7 linked regions of the Kluyveromyces lactis genome follow. The protein of the gene in region 3 binds, or shares a complex with, the protein of the main gene of each other region. Links are inferred from orthologs where the notes say so. Each region holds a gene or a part of one and is shown on either strand. Other genes may lie near its edges. The genes, in order: MRPL17, RML2, MRPL31, RTC6, MRP49, MRPL9 and MHR1.

The links.
Region 1: MRPL31 (region 3) and MRPL17 share a complex: the UniProt entries of both Saccharomyces cerevisiae proteins name them as parts of the mitochondrial large ribosomal subunit. The link is inferred for Kluyveromyces lactis from reciprocal best matches to the Saccharomyces cerevisiae genes MRPL31 and MRPL17.
Region 2: MRPL31 (region 3) and RML2 share a complex: the UniProt entries of both Saccharomyces cerevisiae proteins name them as parts of the mitochondrial large ribosomal subunit. The link is inferred for Kluyveromyces lactis from reciprocal best matches to the Saccharomyces cerevisiae genes MRPL31 and RML2.
Region 4: MRPL31 (region 3) and RTC6 share a complex: the UniProt entries of both Saccharomyces cerevisiae proteins name them as parts of the mitochondrial large ribosomal subunit. The link is inferred for Kluyveromyces lactis from reciprocal best matches to the Saccharomyces cerevisiae genes MRPL31 and RTC6.
Region 5: MRPL31 (region 3) and MRP49 share a complex: the UniProt entries of both Saccharomyces cerevisiae proteins name them as parts of the mitochondrial large ribosomal subunit. The link is inferred for Kluyveromyces lactis from reciprocal best matches to the Saccharomyces cerevisiae genes MRPL31 and MRP49.
Region 6: MRPL31 (region 3) and MRPL9 share a complex: the UniProt entries of both Saccharomyces cerevisiae proteins name them as parts of the mitochondrial large ribosomal subunit. The link is inferred for Kluyveromyces lactis from reciprocal best matches to the Saccharomyces cerevisiae genes MRPL31 and MRPL9.
Region 7: MRPL31 (region 3) and MHR1 share a complex: the UniProt entries of both Saccharomyces cerevisiae proteins name them as parts of the mitochondrial large ribosomal subunit. The link is inferred for Kluyveromyces lactis from reciprocal best matches to the Saccharomyces cerevisiae genes MRPL31 and MHR1.

The regions. Positions count from the first base shown.
Region 1 is NC_006039.1:256,993-259,549, forward strand, and holds MRPL17 (mitochondrial 54S ribosomal protein mL46), read right to left. Parts: upstream 1,293-2,557; coding exon 501-1,292; downstream 1-500. Other genes in the region: TEX1 (Tex1p), read left to right, coding at 1-293; Nrd1 complex RNA-binding subunit, read right to left, coding at 1,610-2,557. UniProt on the Saccharomyces cerevisiae protein: Component of the mitochondrial ribosome (mitoribosome), a dedicated translation machinery responsible for the synthesis of mitochondrial genome-encoded proteins, including at least some of the essential transmembrane subunits of the mitochondrial respiratory chain.
Region 2 is NC_006037.1:183,120-186,144, forward strand, and holds RML2 (mitochondrial 54S ribosomal protein uL2m), read right to left. Parts: upstream 1,707-3,025; coding exon 501-1,706; downstream 1-500. Other genes in the region: KLLA0_A02013g (putative aminopeptidase), read left to right, coding at 1-328. UniProt on the Saccharomyces cerevisiae protein: Component of the mitochondrial ribosome (mitoribosome), a dedicated translation machinery responsible for the synthesis of mitochondrial genome-encoded proteins, including at least some of the essential transmembrane subunits of the mitochondrial respiratory chain.
Region 3 is NC_006041.1:1,082,310-1,084,664, reverse strand, and holds MRPL31 (mitochondrial 54S ribosomal protein mL60), read left to right. Parts: upstream 1-1,465; coding exon 1,466-1,855; downstream 1,856-2,355. Other genes in the region: APL2 (Apl2p), read left to right, coding at 1-639; CMC1 (Cmc1p), read right to left, coding at 817-1,128; kinetochore-associated Ndc80 complex subunit SPC24, read right to left, coding at 1,933-2,355. UniProt on the Saccharomyces cerevisiae protein: Component of the mitochondrial ribosome (mitoribosome), a dedicated translation machinery responsible for the synthesis of mitochondrial genome-encoded proteins, including at least some of the essential transmembrane subunits of the mitochondrial respiratory chain.
Region 4 is NC_006041.1:1,683,425-1,685,468, forward strand, and holds RTC6 (mitochondrial 54S ribosomal protein bL36m), read right to left. Parts: upstream 744-2,044; coding exon 501-743; downstream 1-500. Other genes in the region: tRNA (34-2'-O)-methyltransferase regulator RTT10, read left to right, coding at 1-323; kinetochore-microtubule binding complex subunit SPC105, read left to right, coding at 1,327-2,044. UniProt on the Saccharomyces cerevisiae protein: Component of the mitochondrial ribosome (mitoribosome), a dedicated translation machinery responsible for the synthesis of mitochondrial genome-encoded proteins, including at least some of the essential transmembrane subunits of the mitochondrial respiratory chain.
Region 5 is NC_006038.1:623,044-625,332, forward strand, and holds MRP49 (mitochondrial 54S ribosomal protein mL61), read right to left. Parts: upstream 894-2,289; coding exon 501-893; downstream 1-500. Other genes in the region: RKM3 (protein-lysine N-methyltransferase), read right to left, coding at 1-9; KLLA0_B07205g (cAMP-dependent protein kinase), read right to left, coding at 1,563-2,289. UniProt on the Saccharomyces cerevisiae protein: Component of the mitochondrial ribosome (mitoribosome), a dedicated translation machinery responsible for the synthesis of mitochondrial genome-encoded proteins, including at least some of the essential transmembrane subunits of the mitochondrial respiratory chain.
Region 6 is NC_006041.1:1,426,393-1,428,861, reverse strand, and holds MRPL9 (mitochondrial 54S ribosomal protein uL3m), read right to left. Parts: upstream 1,323-2,469; coding exon 501-1,322; downstream 1-500. Other genes in the region: exportin CRM1, read left to right, coding at 1-131; MRPL6 (mitochondrial 54S ribosomal protein uL6m), read right to left, coding at 1,665-2,309. UniProt on the Saccharomyces cerevisiae protein: Component of the mitochondrial ribosome (mitoribosome), a dedicated translation machinery responsible for the synthesis of mitochondrial genome-encoded proteins, including at least some of the essential transmembrane subunits of the mitochondrial respiratory chain.
Region 7 is NC_006039.1:893,436-895,897, reverse strand, and holds MHR1 (mitochondrial 54S ribosomal protein mL67), read left to right. Parts: upstream 1-1,302; coding exon 1,303-1,962; downstream 1,963-2,462. Other genes in the region: GTPase-activating protein NEL1, read right to left, coding at 1-876. UniProt on the Saccharomyces cerevisiae protein: Component of the mitochondrial ribosome (mitoribosome), a dedicated translation machinery responsible for the synthesis of mitochondrial genome-encoded proteins, including at least some of the essential transmembrane subunits of the mitochondrial respiratory chain.

The sequences.
Region 1 (2,557 bases), on a different chromosome or scaffold from region 3:
AGTCGTGCTTAATATTTTACACCACTGGTGCTCTTGATAAAATGACAATGGTTGATTTACGTTCAGGCAGACCGAAAACTATGGTATCGACCGATGATCGTAAACGAAATGATTTTGTTAAGAAAAGCACCGATCGGAGCAGTAGAACTCAAAGAGACACACCACAGCGCGGGAAGAGGGATAAAGAGCTGCGCAAACAACCATACAAGAGAGATGCTGATAAATTCAGTGAGAAGTCGTTTGGTCGCTCCAACACAGGGTCTTCTTTTAGAAAGCCAAATGATAGATGGTGATAGATTTAAAAGTTAATTAGCATTCTTACAAGTATATAATGTTCCAATCTTAAAATCAATCAGAGTTCAGCAATATGTATATGATTGTTATCTTTTAGTGTTCGATACGGGTTGGAATTTCTATCCGAAGCAGTATTTACAGGAGGGTTTACATATATATATAGTGATTAAATCATGCCAATACTTTCTGTGTTTGATGATAATATGTTAATTCTCAGCAAGAACATATTGTATACTATTGAAATATCTCTCGTCAACAGCTTTCTTGATTTCATCTTTTGTCAACCATGCAAATTCTTTGATTGACTTTTCATCCTTTAACTTGAATTCACCTGCTATGATATGCGATTTGATCAAAAACTGGAGATCTTTTTCAGATTGTAGAACACCTGCTGGAGTATTCGACACAGTCCATGTATTAATATCTTCTCCGCCGATTTTTCTTAATCCCACTTCAGCGGTCTCATGTAAAGCTTTCTTTCCTTCCTTAGCTTCAATATCAACCGGGAAACTTGGAAGAACCCAGCTTCCCTTGTCATCCTTCACAAGCAAATGCAGAGTTCTGTCCAATTTTCTGTCTAAACTAGTAATATCGTTATTTTCGTCTGCCTTTGTAGTTCTGGAATTAGGAACAATTGGCCTTGAGACATCAGACTTGTTTGAACCTTCTGAAGCCTCTCTTGGTAGCATAATATCTTGCTTTTGACTTCTTTCTCTGTTATGTCTGACGTCTGGCACTCCTTTAGGGAACCATACACCAGGCTGCTTGCTAATCACACCTTTCTGTACAGACTGGAAACGACGCTCTGCCAAAGTACCTTTTTTGAAATAGAAATAAGATGGAAATGTCCACATTAGTCTTCTTTCCAGTTCTGCCTGGTATTGGTAGTACTTGTTCTCTAGTGCATTCAATTCTGGAGTGACGATTGGAACACGAGAAAGTACCAAACCTGCCTTTACTGCCTTGGGAATCGAGCTTGCTGCTGCTTTCACAGACATTTTTATTTATAATTGTGTCGATGAAGAGGGTTGCTGACTGAATATACACGATGATTGACAGCTGGTGAATATGCTTCCCAATTCTGATAAGCGGCACTATTTCAACATGATGCTGATGTTCCAATAATTTTTCAAATTGTTTGAACATCCTCTCATGCCTACTATTCCAAAATTTTTCAATATGAAATAATCGATCACGATATACGGATTTGATAACTTTCCAAGTGGTGTCACTAATAGAACAAAGTAGTGAGTGAATTGCATATGCATAAAGGCTATCAGATACAGAAAATTATTTAAGTGCATTTATATAAGCATTATTTTGGCGTTTGGTTCAAAATATTCATCAATGTGTTTAATTGCGCAGTTGGATCGAAATTTTGTGGGGGTTGAGGAGATTTTTGGCCCGAAGGTTGAGTAGACTGATGCGATTGCTGCTGCTGCTGCTGCTGCGCAGATGATGCCGATCCCAGCAGTTGATTTTGACCATATACCATTGATGGAGGCTGCTGATACAATGGCTGGTTATAATACTGTTGTTGGATTTGAGGAACGTTCGGTATTTGTGATGTTTGAACCGGAGGAGGAGGAGGAGATATATTACTGTAGGGGATAGGTGTTTGAGAGACAGCAGTAGCTTGACCAACTTTACCAGACTTGGGACCCAAAACACCTTTATCAGTTGGCATCTTTTGCGAAATCGCTTTTGATGAAACACCTTCACCAACAATAATATCGGGCTCCTCATAAACCATGTTTGTTTGGATTGGTTGACCACCAGTACCACCCCATTCCGCGGACTGTGACCATTTGAAGTCAATTTCGGTTAGCCTGGCCAATGGGATGATTGAATATCCATATTGATAGTCACAACAGTCTCTAGGACCGAAACCAACGGCCCAACGGATTCTCAAACCATGTGTCGGATTGCCACCACCAGTGAAATGCGCCATGATCCTCTCCGCTTCTGCTCTTGAATAGACTTTCACAAAGGCGTGCTTACGGGCATTATTCAAAATAACACTCTGAACCTCACCGAATTGTCTTAACATTCTTGCAATATCATGTTCTTTGAAATTTTGTGGGACACCACCAACGAAAAGGGTTCTGGAATATACTTTTACGTGGTCCCTTGGCACAGTTGGATCAAAGGATACCGGTTTTGGCCTAAAATGAGGGTTTGAGGGAACATTCTGCTCATCTGGGTACAAATGATGGTTATTTCCTTGTTGACCATTAATTGACTGCTGCTGTTGTTGTTGTTG
Region 2 (3,025 bases), on a different chromosome or scaffold from region 3:
TGAGCATGTTGGTGTCATTACTGATTATACCACGCCAGGTCTAACTGAATTTATTAAGTTGATTATAAGAAGATTCTTGGATATTCCTTACGTGGAAACGGAATGTGGATATGCATGTAGTGATCACGGAAGTGCAACGAAGAATGGATTCCCCGCTTCCTTTGTCATTGAAAGTGAGTTCAACAAATCTAACAAATACATTCACAGTACGATGGACACTTTAGACAGACTTTCATTTGATCACATGGCCCAGCATGTAAGGTTAGTCGTTGGTTCCTTATTCGAACTTGGGAACTGGGAATTTAAGCTGGAAGAAGAGACCAAATGATGCTCTGGATGTAGTAATCTAAACTTTGTTTAAAATAGAGTTGGTAACTGAACAGATGTTATGTTATTTCTTTAAATTAACTAGTTCTACGATATTTACAGGATGGAAGTCATTGAAATAAGTTTACAAAAACTGATGATATTTAAGATAGGATCAGTTGTGGGGAAGCTTATCATTGTCTAGCCTTTCTACCAGCCTTACCTCTTGGTCTATCTTTAACCTTCATTTTGTTTTGATGCTTACCCCTTCTTGTCTTGTAACCCTTGGCCAATTGACCCCATGGAGACATGGACAACTTTTTGGACTTAGATTTACCTCTACCACCACCGTGAGGATGGTCACATTTGTTCATTGCCACACCTCTGACAGTTGGTCTTATACCCAACCATCTAGATCTACCAGCTTTACCTAGAGAACGGTTTTGATGGTCAATATTTGAGACAACACCCATGGTAGCTGCAGCTTCCAATGATACGTAACGGTGCTCACCACTTTGTAGACGGACAACAGCTTTATTCTTTTCTGGGATCTTGGATAAGATACGTGCGTAAGAACCAGCAGCACGACAGAACTTACCTGGACCTGTAGGAGTGATACCAATATTATGAACGATGGATCCGATTGGGATCATAGAGATTGGTAGACAGTTACCTCTTTGAGCTGTTCTAACAGATAAGATGGCAGGATCGATCTTCCCACCCATTTCTTTCAAAAATGATGGTGGAATACCTTTTCTGTATGATTCGATGGTATCCCCAGCTCTTAGCCCATCACATGCTAAAATGTAGCTTAGGGCACCAGTATCGTTATGTTTTATCAATGCAATATGTGCACTTCTACCAGGATCGTATTCGATTCTTTCCACAGTTTGCATACCAGATTCGAAACGACTGAAATCGACTGTTCTCAATCTTCTTTTATGACCACCACCACGATGTCTCACCGTGATCTTACCACTATGGTTTCTACCACCATTTCCTCTCTTGGCAAGAGTCAAAGATTTAACAGGTCTTCCCTTATGCAAATATGGATAAATTGGCGCACGGTACCATCTCAAACCTGGAGAAACCGGTTTCAATTTCTTCATTTGTGTAACTTCCTTAGCCAACTTTCTTCTTCTTCTTAACAATTCGTCTTGCTTCTCTAGTGCTACCACATCTGTGTTATTAGGAACGATTTTCAACATATGGACATTGACATCGTCAACTGAAGATTGTTCTTCATTCCCGGTTGGAGTGATGCTGGCCATAGATCTGATTCCACCAAGTGAAGTATTGTTCAAAGACATTATCATCGAAACATTCCACGGAACTTGAACTCTTGAGGAGACGCCGCTGGCAAGCGGCGTCAGGCATCTCAAGTTGAATTGCTTGAACATGATATTATATCCAGAGCACCTAACGAGATTCTTAGGGTAAACCGTCTAATACCAATATCTCCGCTTTGCTACTGCCCTTCACAGAAATAATAAAATAACTCTGATCTTAATAAGATTTGTTATAGATATATCCACCCTTATATATATCAATATCCATAGTTTAAAATGTTTAAGTCATTGCAATTACATTGTTCATTTTTGTTAATATCAAAATCTTTCAAGCGATCTCTAATTTCAAACAGCTTCAATACCATCAGAGGAATATCGTCAAATGGAATTTTTTGCAAGAAGTATCACTATGAACGTATTCTGAATTTACCCGGATTATATAATATTTGGTCACGTGATTCAGGAAATCTTTGTGTACTTATTTTGTGCCCTAATGGCAGACCAGTCTCTCATGGTTAGATTGACTATTCTTTCTGTTTTATGGTTTTTAGTTTAAATAACTGGAAAAGTGAAAAATTTTGAGGTAAGTTTCTATCTCATCACGAATACTTTATTATCCGTTACAAAGCTTTTAATTAGAGTTAGAGACATAACCAACAAGGATTCGATTTGTAGTGTATCAGGAACAGGAGTTCCTGTTCGCAACGTATTCTGTCTTTTTTACTGAACTCAAACGGAAATCAAATTCCTCTTCATGTCGGGAAATGAACAAGTAAAAGGAACGACGAAGATAATGACTGTCTGTATGGAAATACCATCATTTGGATTGTTTTTTTTTTGAGTATATCGATTATGATGACCGCTGTCGCCCCAAACGGATTTCGAAAATATGAACGATTCGACTAGCATTAGCCAAACACTGAAAATTCTGATCAATCGATTACTTTATTAAAATAAACTGTCCAGGCAATACAGTACAAGTTATATCTTCTTGTTTGTTTGACTTTCTTCATTTCCGGATATATTCGGGTAGTCGAAGTGTACGTTAGATGTGTCAGTGGATTACTCGGCATTCTCTATCTTAAATATATAGACCTATTAATGATGAACTAAAAGTTTCCATGCTAATCATGAATAAAATTCAAAATTTTAAAGGATTAGAAACACGCTTTTTGTTATCTCTAACAGTCCTGAATACGTTTATATATAGCATTAGCTGTTCCATTCTTGTACTTGTAACTTGTGCTTTTCGGTAGTGTGTGTTTTTTTATTTTTGGTGCCGGTATCTGAATTGTAAACACGTCTTGAAAAGATGTCAATAGAAATAAAAGTGTTATCTTAGGACTAAAAACGTAGGATCCTAGATTATACAGAGCTCTGAGACAGTGAACCACAAATCTAAACCGTTAGCGATACACACAGGGCCTTTC
Region 3 (2,355 bases):
AATTTGGAAACTAAGCTTGAACCACTGGTAGAAGTTTTCGATGAATTAGGATCCCTAACTCAAATGTCCCTTCTAATGGGTGTAGTGAAATGCCATAATGCAGTCTCAAGTGCTTTCTTACAGAAGATCTTGGAACTTTGTACGACAGACGTCCACGATTTGGACGTTAGAGACATGGCCATGATGTACTGGCGGTGTCTATCGATCGACAACGGTGATCAAATCATCAACCAATTATTTGACAAGCATGAAATTCCTAAATTGCATTCTACCTTGGACCACTTCTCCAAGGAAACATTACAAAGTCTACTTCAAGAGCTCTCCACTCTATCCTCTGTGTATTTCAAACCAATCTCGCAGATGCAACGCCGTCCCAACGAAGTTCACATCATTAAGGATAAGGATATTGATGAATTAAAGGGAATGGCCACGAACGAGATCCTGAAAAACATGAACGATGATGTACTACTTGACATGGGTGATAGCTCTGCCACGAGAAGTACAGGCGTCCTGGACGAACTAAATGATCTTTTCGATATCACTGGTGATATGGGGAAAGTAAACATTTCACAGAAAACCAATAATAACAACAACAACACCTCGAATTCCCATGCAACCGATCTTCTAGACTTAATGTAAACTAGTTTACTCTTTTGAACACCTGTACAAACTATAATTATAATGGGAAACAATGAAGCAGATAAACTTCAATCATGGATGTGCCTTTCTAAAATGTTAATTTATTATGGTGCAGTATCTACTACTATATACAAGTAACCCCAGTGGCATGTCATGTCATGTCATATCATGTCAACTTTATTCCTTTTGTTTCTTGAGAAGATCCTCAAGTCTCTCAATCTTACGTTCCACTATCAAGTCACGTTGACGATCCAGATTAGAATCCTTCTGGTATGATAATATACATTTGCGCATAGCGTCACGAGGTTCGTTACACGCTGGGAAAAGCTTCAATCCATGAATCTTTGAACATTCGACCATGGCCTCCACGTATTCTACACATTGTGCATATGCAAATTTCTTCAAATTCTGACGAGCTTCTTTCTCCTCGGTAGGGTTCAATACCCAAATTGGTAATCTTTGATTATGCTTTCCAACGCCCTCTGACATTTCTAAATGAATAATCTATCTTTGTGGTGCAGTATTCCAGTACTATAAGAACTTCTGACCTATGGTTATGGACACAGCAGCAGCTACAAATGACAATACGCTGGCTGTTCCCCAAAATCGTTTAAATCAGTTGACATTGTTCATTTGCATAATGTTGAGATTTAAAGCTTTTTCATGGATACTTTGAAAAATTTCGAAGGTTTAAAAGATTTAATACCATGAATTACGGTGGGAAATTGGTAAAAGCCAGCCAGTAGCACCGTTATACAAACTGTTTAAGCAGCTCGTTAGGTTCTGTCATACCCGGGTCAATTGAATATCTTTGTTTCATAGAGAAATGTTCGGTGCATTCAGAGCTACACAACCTGCATTAGGTGGATTATTATGGAAAGTCCCATGGCGTATGTCTGGTCCTCAAAAAGCAAGACAAAGAGACCGTTTGAGAAGCGTTGATGATGTTCTTTCAACTCTTAAGTTAGGTCTTCATCTTGAAAGAAACCATATGGCGGTTTCTGAGGGATCTCAGCTGAATCTACGTAAGATTAAACCTCGTGTGAAGAGCTTACGTATTTTAGACAAGGCTCAGTATTTCCCAAAGGAACCGGAGATGTCTGCTACTGATAAGTACAGTGTATTCAACAGGTACTCGAAGGGATATAGAAAGGGTATACATAAAGTTCCCAAATGGACCAAGCTTTCCATCAGAAGAAACCCACGTCATTTCTGATTTGGATGAATCATCATTAAAAACTTCTATTATTACATAGTAAGTAGCCCCTGTACATAGTGAATAAAATCAAGGTATCATAGTTCATCCCAGATGTTGTGAGATGATGATGATGATGATAATGGACGGGCTTCATTCCTTAGATCGAGCAATTGGTCATTATATAGTGCTACGTCAAGGGAATGGAACAACTTCAACTTTAGCACACGTATCTTGTCATCTTTACCGATCGGTTCCTCATCAATCGTGTGGGCAGCATCAGTATCGTCATTGAGTAATTGTTTCTGTGTTTCTACGACCTTTTGAATACCCTCTTGTATCGTATCTCGAAGCTGGTTAATTTCCTGTACCAGTTTATCTATGTCTTGTTGCAATTTCGGTATGTTTAATTCGTCCTCTACGCGTTTCACTTGGCTTGTTTGCTCCTGAAAATTCTTTTTAAGTGCCTGCACTTTAGTTTGCTGTCTTTGCAGCTGTGATTGCAATTGTTTCATGAGCTC
Region 4 (2,044 bases), about 600 kb from region 3:
ATGACAATGCTGTAGCCATCACTAAATTTACGAACAATGACAACTACACGATGAAAGCCGAAATACTAGATCACGATTCGTATGCTGCTTCATCAACAGTAACATCAGTGAATCTGTTAGATAATGACACAAAATTATTGGCTACATCAGTGGACCAGGTCATAAGAATTAGGGACATTACGAATGACAAACTGAAAATAACGGAGAGCAAATATACCACAGTAGCAGATACCGGTTCCAGTGATATAGTTACGTTACCAAACGTCCAGAAAACACTTATATTAATAGGAGGATTAGGACTTTCCTGTTGGCGAGATGAATAATATCTAACCATCTAAACTTCAGAATTTTATATATTTAAAACCAGTTTATTAGTATAGAATGGAAATTATTTATAGAAAGAAGGCTGCATTTTTCCACATTCAAGAAAAGAACACATCCTCCATTATGACTTATCTATATACATGAAAGATTGGGACGAATGGGAGGGCGATTGTAATTCAACCTTGACGTTGTTTATGCTTCTTATTGGACTTACAGTAAACGTACACTCTGCCCTTACGTCTAACCATGTAACAATCGTTACAGAACTTCTTGATGGAAGTTCTTACCTTAAAACCTCTGGTCAAAGGAGGGTTCATAAGACCCATCATTGGCATAGATAGCATATTGATACTTTTCACAGCTGGCCTTGTCAGTCTTGTCAACGAGTTCAACATCGTACTTCCGAAAAGTGTGCTCATTATGTATGTATTTCCCTCTCTTTATATTATATCGGGCTCCAGAGTTATACCTGTGAAGAGTTTTCAGTTTTTGATATCACCCACGGTCTTGAAACGTACTAATGGAGTCCACAATCGTCAATAAGGCATCACACCGACTGAACATGCCCTCTATAGCTGATGATCTACCATGAAAAGGCCTTCGATAATTTTTCAAAATAGTTTCAATGGAGATTAAGATATTTACCCGGACTATAGCACGTGATGGTTATGACCTGAGATCTTGAACATCCTCATCTAGTGAACATCTTTGGGCAAATCTGAAGACCGTTTCGAATCACTAACAAATAAATAATTGATGAAGTACACCCATCCTTTCTAAGAGACTCTTCAAGGCAGTTGTTTTATCCTTTTTCTCGGTTCTCACTGTATGTGCAGCAGCGCTCTGAATCGAAAACATTGAACTTCGAAAACGTAAACAATCGAATTTTAGATCAATATATTGACACACAAATACCGAATCATCATAAACTTAAGGACTAATATTTAGGTTAAGTTTCCATTTATTATCATATTTCACCCTGTGTTGATAGTCTCGCTTCATATGACAGATCCAAAACGATTGTCTTTGCTTCCGAGAAGTATCCTTAAGCAAAAATTTAAGGATGATGATACAACTAACACCAGTCATAATTTGACTATGTCCCAGATACAGTTTCCTACTGAGGGAATTACCAAAGAAGATATACTGGACGGAAACAATACGACATCCCGGATCAGTGCTGCGATTTCGAAGGGAAATCGCCGTGTGTCCTTTGCACCAGATGTGACTTTGCACAAGTTCGAATTCATACCACAATCGATTCAAAATGTAAGGGAACCTCGAAGGAAATCCGCTTTAAAATTGGAAGTGGCAGTAGCTGAAGCCTCTATGGCCGATACCAAAAATGATAACGACAATTCTGGAGAAACAATGGAATTTACTAGTCCGATAGGTTCAATATTCCAAAAATTGGAGTCTCCAAGCGAACCGAAAAATGATGGGTACCAACCTGTGTTCGACAAAGAGGTTTCAATGGATATAACACAGTTATTTGCAAAACATAGCGCTAAACCAGACGATAATGTGGTACCGCAAGAAACCTCTACTGCTGCGGAAGAAGAAGAAGAGAATGGTAACGAAGACCAAGTTTTGGAGGAAACAATGGACCTTACAGAACCGCAGAAACGCCGCTTTAACGAAGAAGAGTCTATGGAAATAACTGACCAAATACGGATGGATGCAGAAAAACCTACGCTAGATGCAGATTCAGAATCTGCTT
Region 5 (2,289 bases), on a different chromosome or scaffold from region 3:
ATTAGACATTCGTGTTGTTGGGTTGAGAGTCTTCACCTGTGAATAATGCCCCTACTATATGCCTCTTTGGGGTGTTGATAATTTCTGTGGTCAACCGATGAGATGAGATGAGATGATGAGATCTGAAGCGATTTATCATTTTCGAGATTGAAAAATTTCAACTGAACAATACGCAGAAAACCATTTCCGCAGATGAAGAAGTCGCTGTTAATGTAAGATGTCTTAATGACAATTAGATGTAAGAGGCGTTCTGAAATTCAAGTTAAATAACCACCTGGTAACCATATACTGGCGTTTTAAATCTTCTTCTCGCGTGTTCTTGAATGTCTTGACGATCCTTGGGCAGAGAGTCAACTCATCTCAAAAGGATATGTCATTTGAATAAGACATCAAATCGGATGAAAAGTATCTTATTATATACATATGTACAGGACCTAACTTTGAAAGTAGTATATTTAGGTATTCCAGTTTGTTTGTTTTTCTTTGTCAAAGGTCGGAGCTCATACCTTTATTATTTCTTCCTGGGGTACTCTTTTGTGTTCCAATTTCTGTAGCACTTCATCCATAATTTCAGATGAGTGTTTGTGCTTCATTGAAACTTCAGCTACAACCTTCCCATCGGATCCAATAGCTTCTAGTATGCATGGTACATCGACTTTTTTATCATCGTTTCTAATTCTGGTCACATTGATTGGCAACGCAGGGTTGTAAAACTGCAGAGAAGGCAAAAACTCGTGCCAGAACTTACGGGCACCCATATGGCCATTGAAATTCTGATACTGGAACTTCACATTCAATGCACTGTACTTCGATACATCTAATATAATTTGAGGTTTCACGGTAGTCGCACTGATCTTGTTCAAAAATTTTTGTTGTTTAACGATTCCTGACATTATTTATTAATGATCTTCTCTAGAGTGACAATGAGTATAAGTATCCAATCGGTAAAATAAACCTTGACGATAAAGTAGAGCAACCAGGACCCTTCACTTTCAGCAATATCACTTCAATCATCTATTTCGTAAAATCATTCTCATTTCAACTGGACATGTCCACTGAACTTTTTGAATTTTCAATAGTTTGGAAAAAAATTCATTGGTCACGTGAAATCATTCGACAGAAGCAAGTTACGTCCAAAACATAAATGAATGTGCCATGACTTACCCCAGTTTACAATTTATGTAGCATGGATCGTGAGGGAAGGACTTGTGATGAAGTCTTATACATGCATTCAAAATATGTAAATGCCATTGATTATAGATAGATAAATACTCCAAAAATAAGATTATTGCATCGAGCATCCATTGGAGAGTACAGCAAAACGAATGAAACGAATTTTGAATTGGAAGTGCGTACATCAATCCATCTAGTATTGTACGATGGTCATTCAAAGGAATGTATCAAATAACGGCAGCGTTTCTGAAGGCAATGAGCCGATATATCAAAACAAAAAAAAAAAGAAAAGGGACTAACGGGGGGAAAGGCGTGTTAAAGTTTACATATTGTGTAGATGCAAGATAAGAGGCATGTTGATATCTGAATTTCATGAGCAAGTATGCCTGCTAAAAGTTGGTGAAAATACTATGGTACGGATCTTCGCCTTGAATGCCATAATTAACCTCTTCCTCTGGATACCTATCGTATTGAGAGGTATCGCCTTGTCCGGCCTGAATAGGAGGTTCATATGGAGTTTCAATGTTTTTGCAGAGTAGTTTTTCCCACACAACCTCGCTGAACCACGGATGATTCTTTACGTCCTCACTTCCATTTTGTAAATTACCTAGCCGTTGACTTAAGTCTCTTGTGATGAGTTTCGATATTAGATCTTGAGCATCAGAATGGAAAAATGGTGGGAATCTTACTGGAGCATTTAGAATATTCTCATAGGTCTTAATTGTGTTTGAATCGTAGAAAGGTGTATATCCTGCTAACATTTCGTAGATTAAAACACCAAAACTCCACCAATCCACAGATTTGTTGTAAGGTTTTGTGCTTACCACTTCAGGTGCGATATAGTCCGGTGTTCCACAGAGAGTGTAAGTGACATCAGGAACATATTTAGCGAACCCGAAATCAGTTAACTTGATATGTCCGTTCTTATCTAAAAGGATATTTTCTGGTTTCAAATCTCTGTAAATGATGCCTTTAGAATGTAGGTATTCCAACGCAAGACAAACTTCTGCTGCATAAAACTTCGCGACCGGGTTTGGGAACCTTTGAGACTTCCTTAAAAGAGAGAATAGTTCACCACCTTCGATGTAATCCATGATCATAAACAATTGCTGTGAG
Region 6 (2,469 bases), about 340 kb from region 3:
GAGATCCAACCGATTATTTGTTCGCAGAGGACAAAGAACAAGCTCTCGCGGAACAACATAAACTTGAAAGAGAAAGAGCTTCCAAGATCGGTGGGTTATTGAAACCATCGGAATTGGATGATGATGAGTAAAGATAACACCTTACAGAAATGTACAGCATGGTCAAGAAACGAAAAAGTTTCTGCGGATCCAATGAAAGCTGAAACTAACACTTGTCAAGCAAGGCAAATATATACATAGCAGGCCGTATATCTTCCCACATAGAGAAAAAAATTGTAATCAATTCTCTCCGACATATACCCAGGATCCAGTATCAACGTATGAAAGCCATTAAATATCTGGTTGAAAAGGACACTCAACGTTGCAGCAGTTACTATTTTATAATTGGTGTATATACAGGTATAGATTGTTAATAATAACCGTAGAAAGGCATGCTTTCCAAATGATTTCGGGACGGTGTCTAAACGACTGAAAAGATTCAATTTCTTAATCACAGTTTTTTATACTGGGGTTGGCTTTTTGATAGCATCTTGGATCTTAACGAATGCACCATTTGGACCTGCGACAGAGCCCTTCACCAAGACAGTACCTGTTTCGTCGTTGACGTCCAGCACTTGCACGTTTTGAATTGTTACAGTGTCGACACCCATATGACCAGGCATCTTTTTCCCAGGCAACACACGACCAGGTGTTTGATTTTGACCGTAAGAACCACCAGATCTGTGAGATACGGAAACACCGTGGGATGCCTTCAAACCTTTGAATCCATAACGTTTCATTACACCTTGGAAACCCTTACCTTTGCTGATTGATCTTAAATCAACGTATTGGCCAGGCTTGAACCACGAAGGTTTGATTAAAGAACCCACTGGTAGTAGTCCAGATTCGTCCTTGACTCTAAACTCGGTAACTTTTTCCTTTGGATTCACAACATGTGCAGCGAAATGTCCCAACATTTGTCTGGTAACATTCTCCGGCGACTTGTTACCATAACCAATTTGGCAAGCCCAGTAATTGTTTTCAGCTGGAGTTCTGTGTAGTATAACTTCGTTATTGTCCAACTGAAGTACAGTAGCTGCTATACGTTTACCAGTCTCTTTCTCGAAATACGGCATCATCCCTACTTTTTTACTCAAAGCACCACAACGTAGAGGTAATCTTCTTCTCTTTAGCGCATTTTCTGGAGAATGTTTAATATCTACAGGATCTAGATGAATGCTGCTTGCCACGGATGGTGCGACTAACTTGGCACCGTTCGATACTCCACTTTGTGAGAAAAGTCTTGTCCAAATCTTCGACGAAGGACTGCCAATAAATGCCATTATTCCCCAATTTTCAAAGACTGGTCGATTGATAACAAATGTGTCAATCCAGATAACCTCTTGGCAATGCTGGAGAAACTGTAAAGGATTTAAAATGTAGTTTAAAGACTCTATTGAAACCTGTTTCCATCTCTGTATAATTGTTAAAGCTGTTTCGATATTGAAAATTTTTTGAATCGATAAAGTTACCTATAGATCACGTGATTAAAACGGCACGTAGTTCTCTCACTGATTTAACACAAATTAAGTGTGCCCTTGACGGTTATTGGAAGTGTATGTTTATGCTTCTGTATTTACATGTTATTTAATATTATAATAATTATAATCATCATTCTATCGTCATCATTTGATCTTCTTATCCTTGATCTTGATAGTTTCATTGTTAACGTAGATACCTTTACCCTTATATGGTTCTGGAGGATGGAATTTTCTCAAGTTGGCAGCGAAGAGTAGCACTTGTTGCTTGTTGACACCTTCCACGATCAACGACGTGGGTACCGGAGACTTAACTATGATTCCCTCTGGGATAGGTAGGCCTTGTCTTACCGACGCACCGACTTTGACGTTGACAAAGGTGTTATTTTCCTCCAATTGAGCTCTGTAACCGGTACCAACGAACTTCAGAACAGCCATATGGCTCTCATTCACGCCTGTGATATGATTATTTATATGAGATCTTACCGTCCCCCACATGGATCTTTGCGTCTTGTCGGTAGAATCCTTCACTGCAACTTCGATTTTTCCCGAAGATCCATCCTGCTTTATCTCCACGAAATCTGGGATTTCCATATCAATCTTCCCCAAAGGACCCGATACAGTTACGTTCTGAGATAACTTAAGAGATTTGTTACCCTTTCTGATGATCTTTGGCAGTTTCATTGATTCCACCACCAACTTGGTCTCCGGTGTCAAATACACCGGAGAAGAACCAATATGTGAGCGCAGAAGAGCCGACACAGAAAAGAGTCTTCTGGAAACAAATGTCATGGTAATTGTGTATATCCTGGAAATAGTCTAGCCCACTTTGCAGCCGCTATATGACTGGGTATATTAGATCAAATGCGTCTATATCAATCTGTTCTTCCAGCACTCATCTCTATGCGTCTTTCAACCAATTTTTCACTTGGAATCAAAATTTTAATAGTGA
Region 7 (2,462 bases), on a different chromosome or scaffold from region 3:
CGTGCATGGAGCAAACTTTAAGGACTTACTCATTTTATTGTAAAATTCTCTAGAAGGTTTCCAATATTTCACATCCTTGTCTTCCTCTATATTTCTATGCTGCCTGATATGATTTTTTCGGTCCATTGAGATAACCTTACCTGGTGCTACTGTACAGGGTCCGAAAACAAATGCAATGGATTGTGATGGGTTTAGACATTGTGCTAGAAAAATAGCGAGTGCAGTGTTTCTTCTACATCTTTTTTTTGACCTAGTCCGTTGACATAGAAGTTCCGCGAGTTTAGCACCGAAAGATATTTGGTCCGTCCAAATCTTCCTCACTAAAAGCCCATACTTTGCAATGAACCATTCTGTGTCAAGCTTCTTAAGATGGCTGATACAACTACTAGATTCTGCATCTACGGTAATGTGTGACCCGTCAGTATGAATAGTGACAGACCCATCTTCAATCGTGATCAGGGCCAATGACTGGACAGAACCAAATTGTAACATCTTCAACGCGTCTAGATTTTCCTCAAATTCACAATTAAGATCGATGATTATGGCGAACTTGGAATGCGTAGGCACAGCAGCAGTTCCTAAATGTTTTAGGTATGACGATGATAATGGAATATTCCCTAGTTCATTATAAGCATTACAAAAAGAACAAAACCACCCAGCTCGTGAATCTCTTGAACATAAAAAATTCGCAAACCCTCCACAGATTTTACAATTGGTATAATTCTCACTGCTTGCTAGGCTTGAATTCCCGTCAATTGTCAAGTCCGGCTCACAAATGGCACTTATCGATCCACGGTTATCATCTCCACAATCGAGAACTCTAGCTAAGCAATCTGTCCGGGACGTAGGAACGGCTCCATAATTCAATTCAAACATCAAGTTCTAGATGGTGGAATATGCGGACACTTGACGGATGAAGGTGATAACTCTACTGTGCGTGTCTGCTGATAGGAAAACCTTTCTCTGGAGATGAGATCCAAGATAAGATAGAGCAGGTAGCGGAGAATTCAATATCATCACAAGATCCGGGTAATGTATATATTAGGTTCATTCTCTTTAATTTTCAGTGTTTCTACGAAGTTGTTTATGGCATCTGAAAAAGCTGAAAAATTTTGAAAAAGAGAAAGCTGATAGTTAGTTTAGCTTGATTACAGAAGAGATCACCACATTTGTGCACACATTGTATTTAAATAACTCTTCAGAAGTCCATCAATAGCACTGGAGATAGAAGAGAACTCTGAGGATCAAGGCTTTTGTTGTTAACAAATAAGGCTTGAAGACACCATAGGGCACTAGGAAGAGATGAGCAAGCATTTAGCTATTACCAAGTTCCGTCCAGCCAACTGGCTACAGAAAGCAGGGTATGCACCACAAGTCTTTTTATTCAGAAACCTAGAGAGTGGACAAGTGCTGTACTCTCAATTCCCGACTTTTTCTTGGAAGCAAATTGATACCAATTTCCAAAGACCCAACTGGGAGAATAAGAAACCAAGCACCAGACGTGATATTTGGAAATGTATGGCTGTTGTTGATCTACCAGACTACGACAAGAGTGTAAAAGTATACCAGAATTTGTGCAGATTAAGATATCTCCGTGATGTGACATTCAGTAAACAGGCAAAAGACATGAGAAAGAAGAATGAGTCCGGCCACACATGGTACTCATCGCAATACAGACCAACATACTCTCAAGAAGCGGTTGCCGATTTGCGAGAATGTCTCCTAAAGTTGAAAGACGTCCAATCGTCCATTAAGGTCCATTGGGAAGACGAATGGAGAATGGGGGATAAAGAGAAATACTGGAACCCAGTATTGCCAGAGTTGAATCACACAACACTAGAACGTTTGGGGAACGTTTCCAGAGAGGAAAGTGCAATTTTGAAAGAACTAGGCGAAAGAGCCAAAGAAGAGTTCGCAAGAGTGAGACAACAGGAGTCAGCTGCTCAAAACATCTCTCTATGAGTTACAAAAGAAAACAAGCAAATACAAACTATTTCCAGTTGCAAAAGCTGAGCCGAGCTCAGATCTTTCACTGCTTCACTCGTCACGTCTTTAAGAAATCACTACATGTACATATATAACCCGCAGACAATCCGACTCTGTAAATAATATAAACAAACCCTCAGCTCACTACCGGCGTTTAACTGATTTGACAAGGTGATTACTAGCAGTTTTCTCCCTTGTTTCCATCATCACGTAACCTAAATATCAAAGGTTCTGTAATCATCATATTACTTCCTCTACTTTTCTACCGCTTCATACCATATGTGTCTCATGCATGCATTAACGCCTAACGGAAGAAGAAGCAGGAACCCGGACACCAAAGAAAAAGCAAAAAAAATGTCACATGACCAAATTTGAGAAACCTTAACACCGTTTCTCTGGTTTTCTCTGGTGTTTCTTTAACGACAATCCTGTTTTCCCTTAGAGGCTTCGGGTTTTTCTTAGTTTTTCTAGCATAA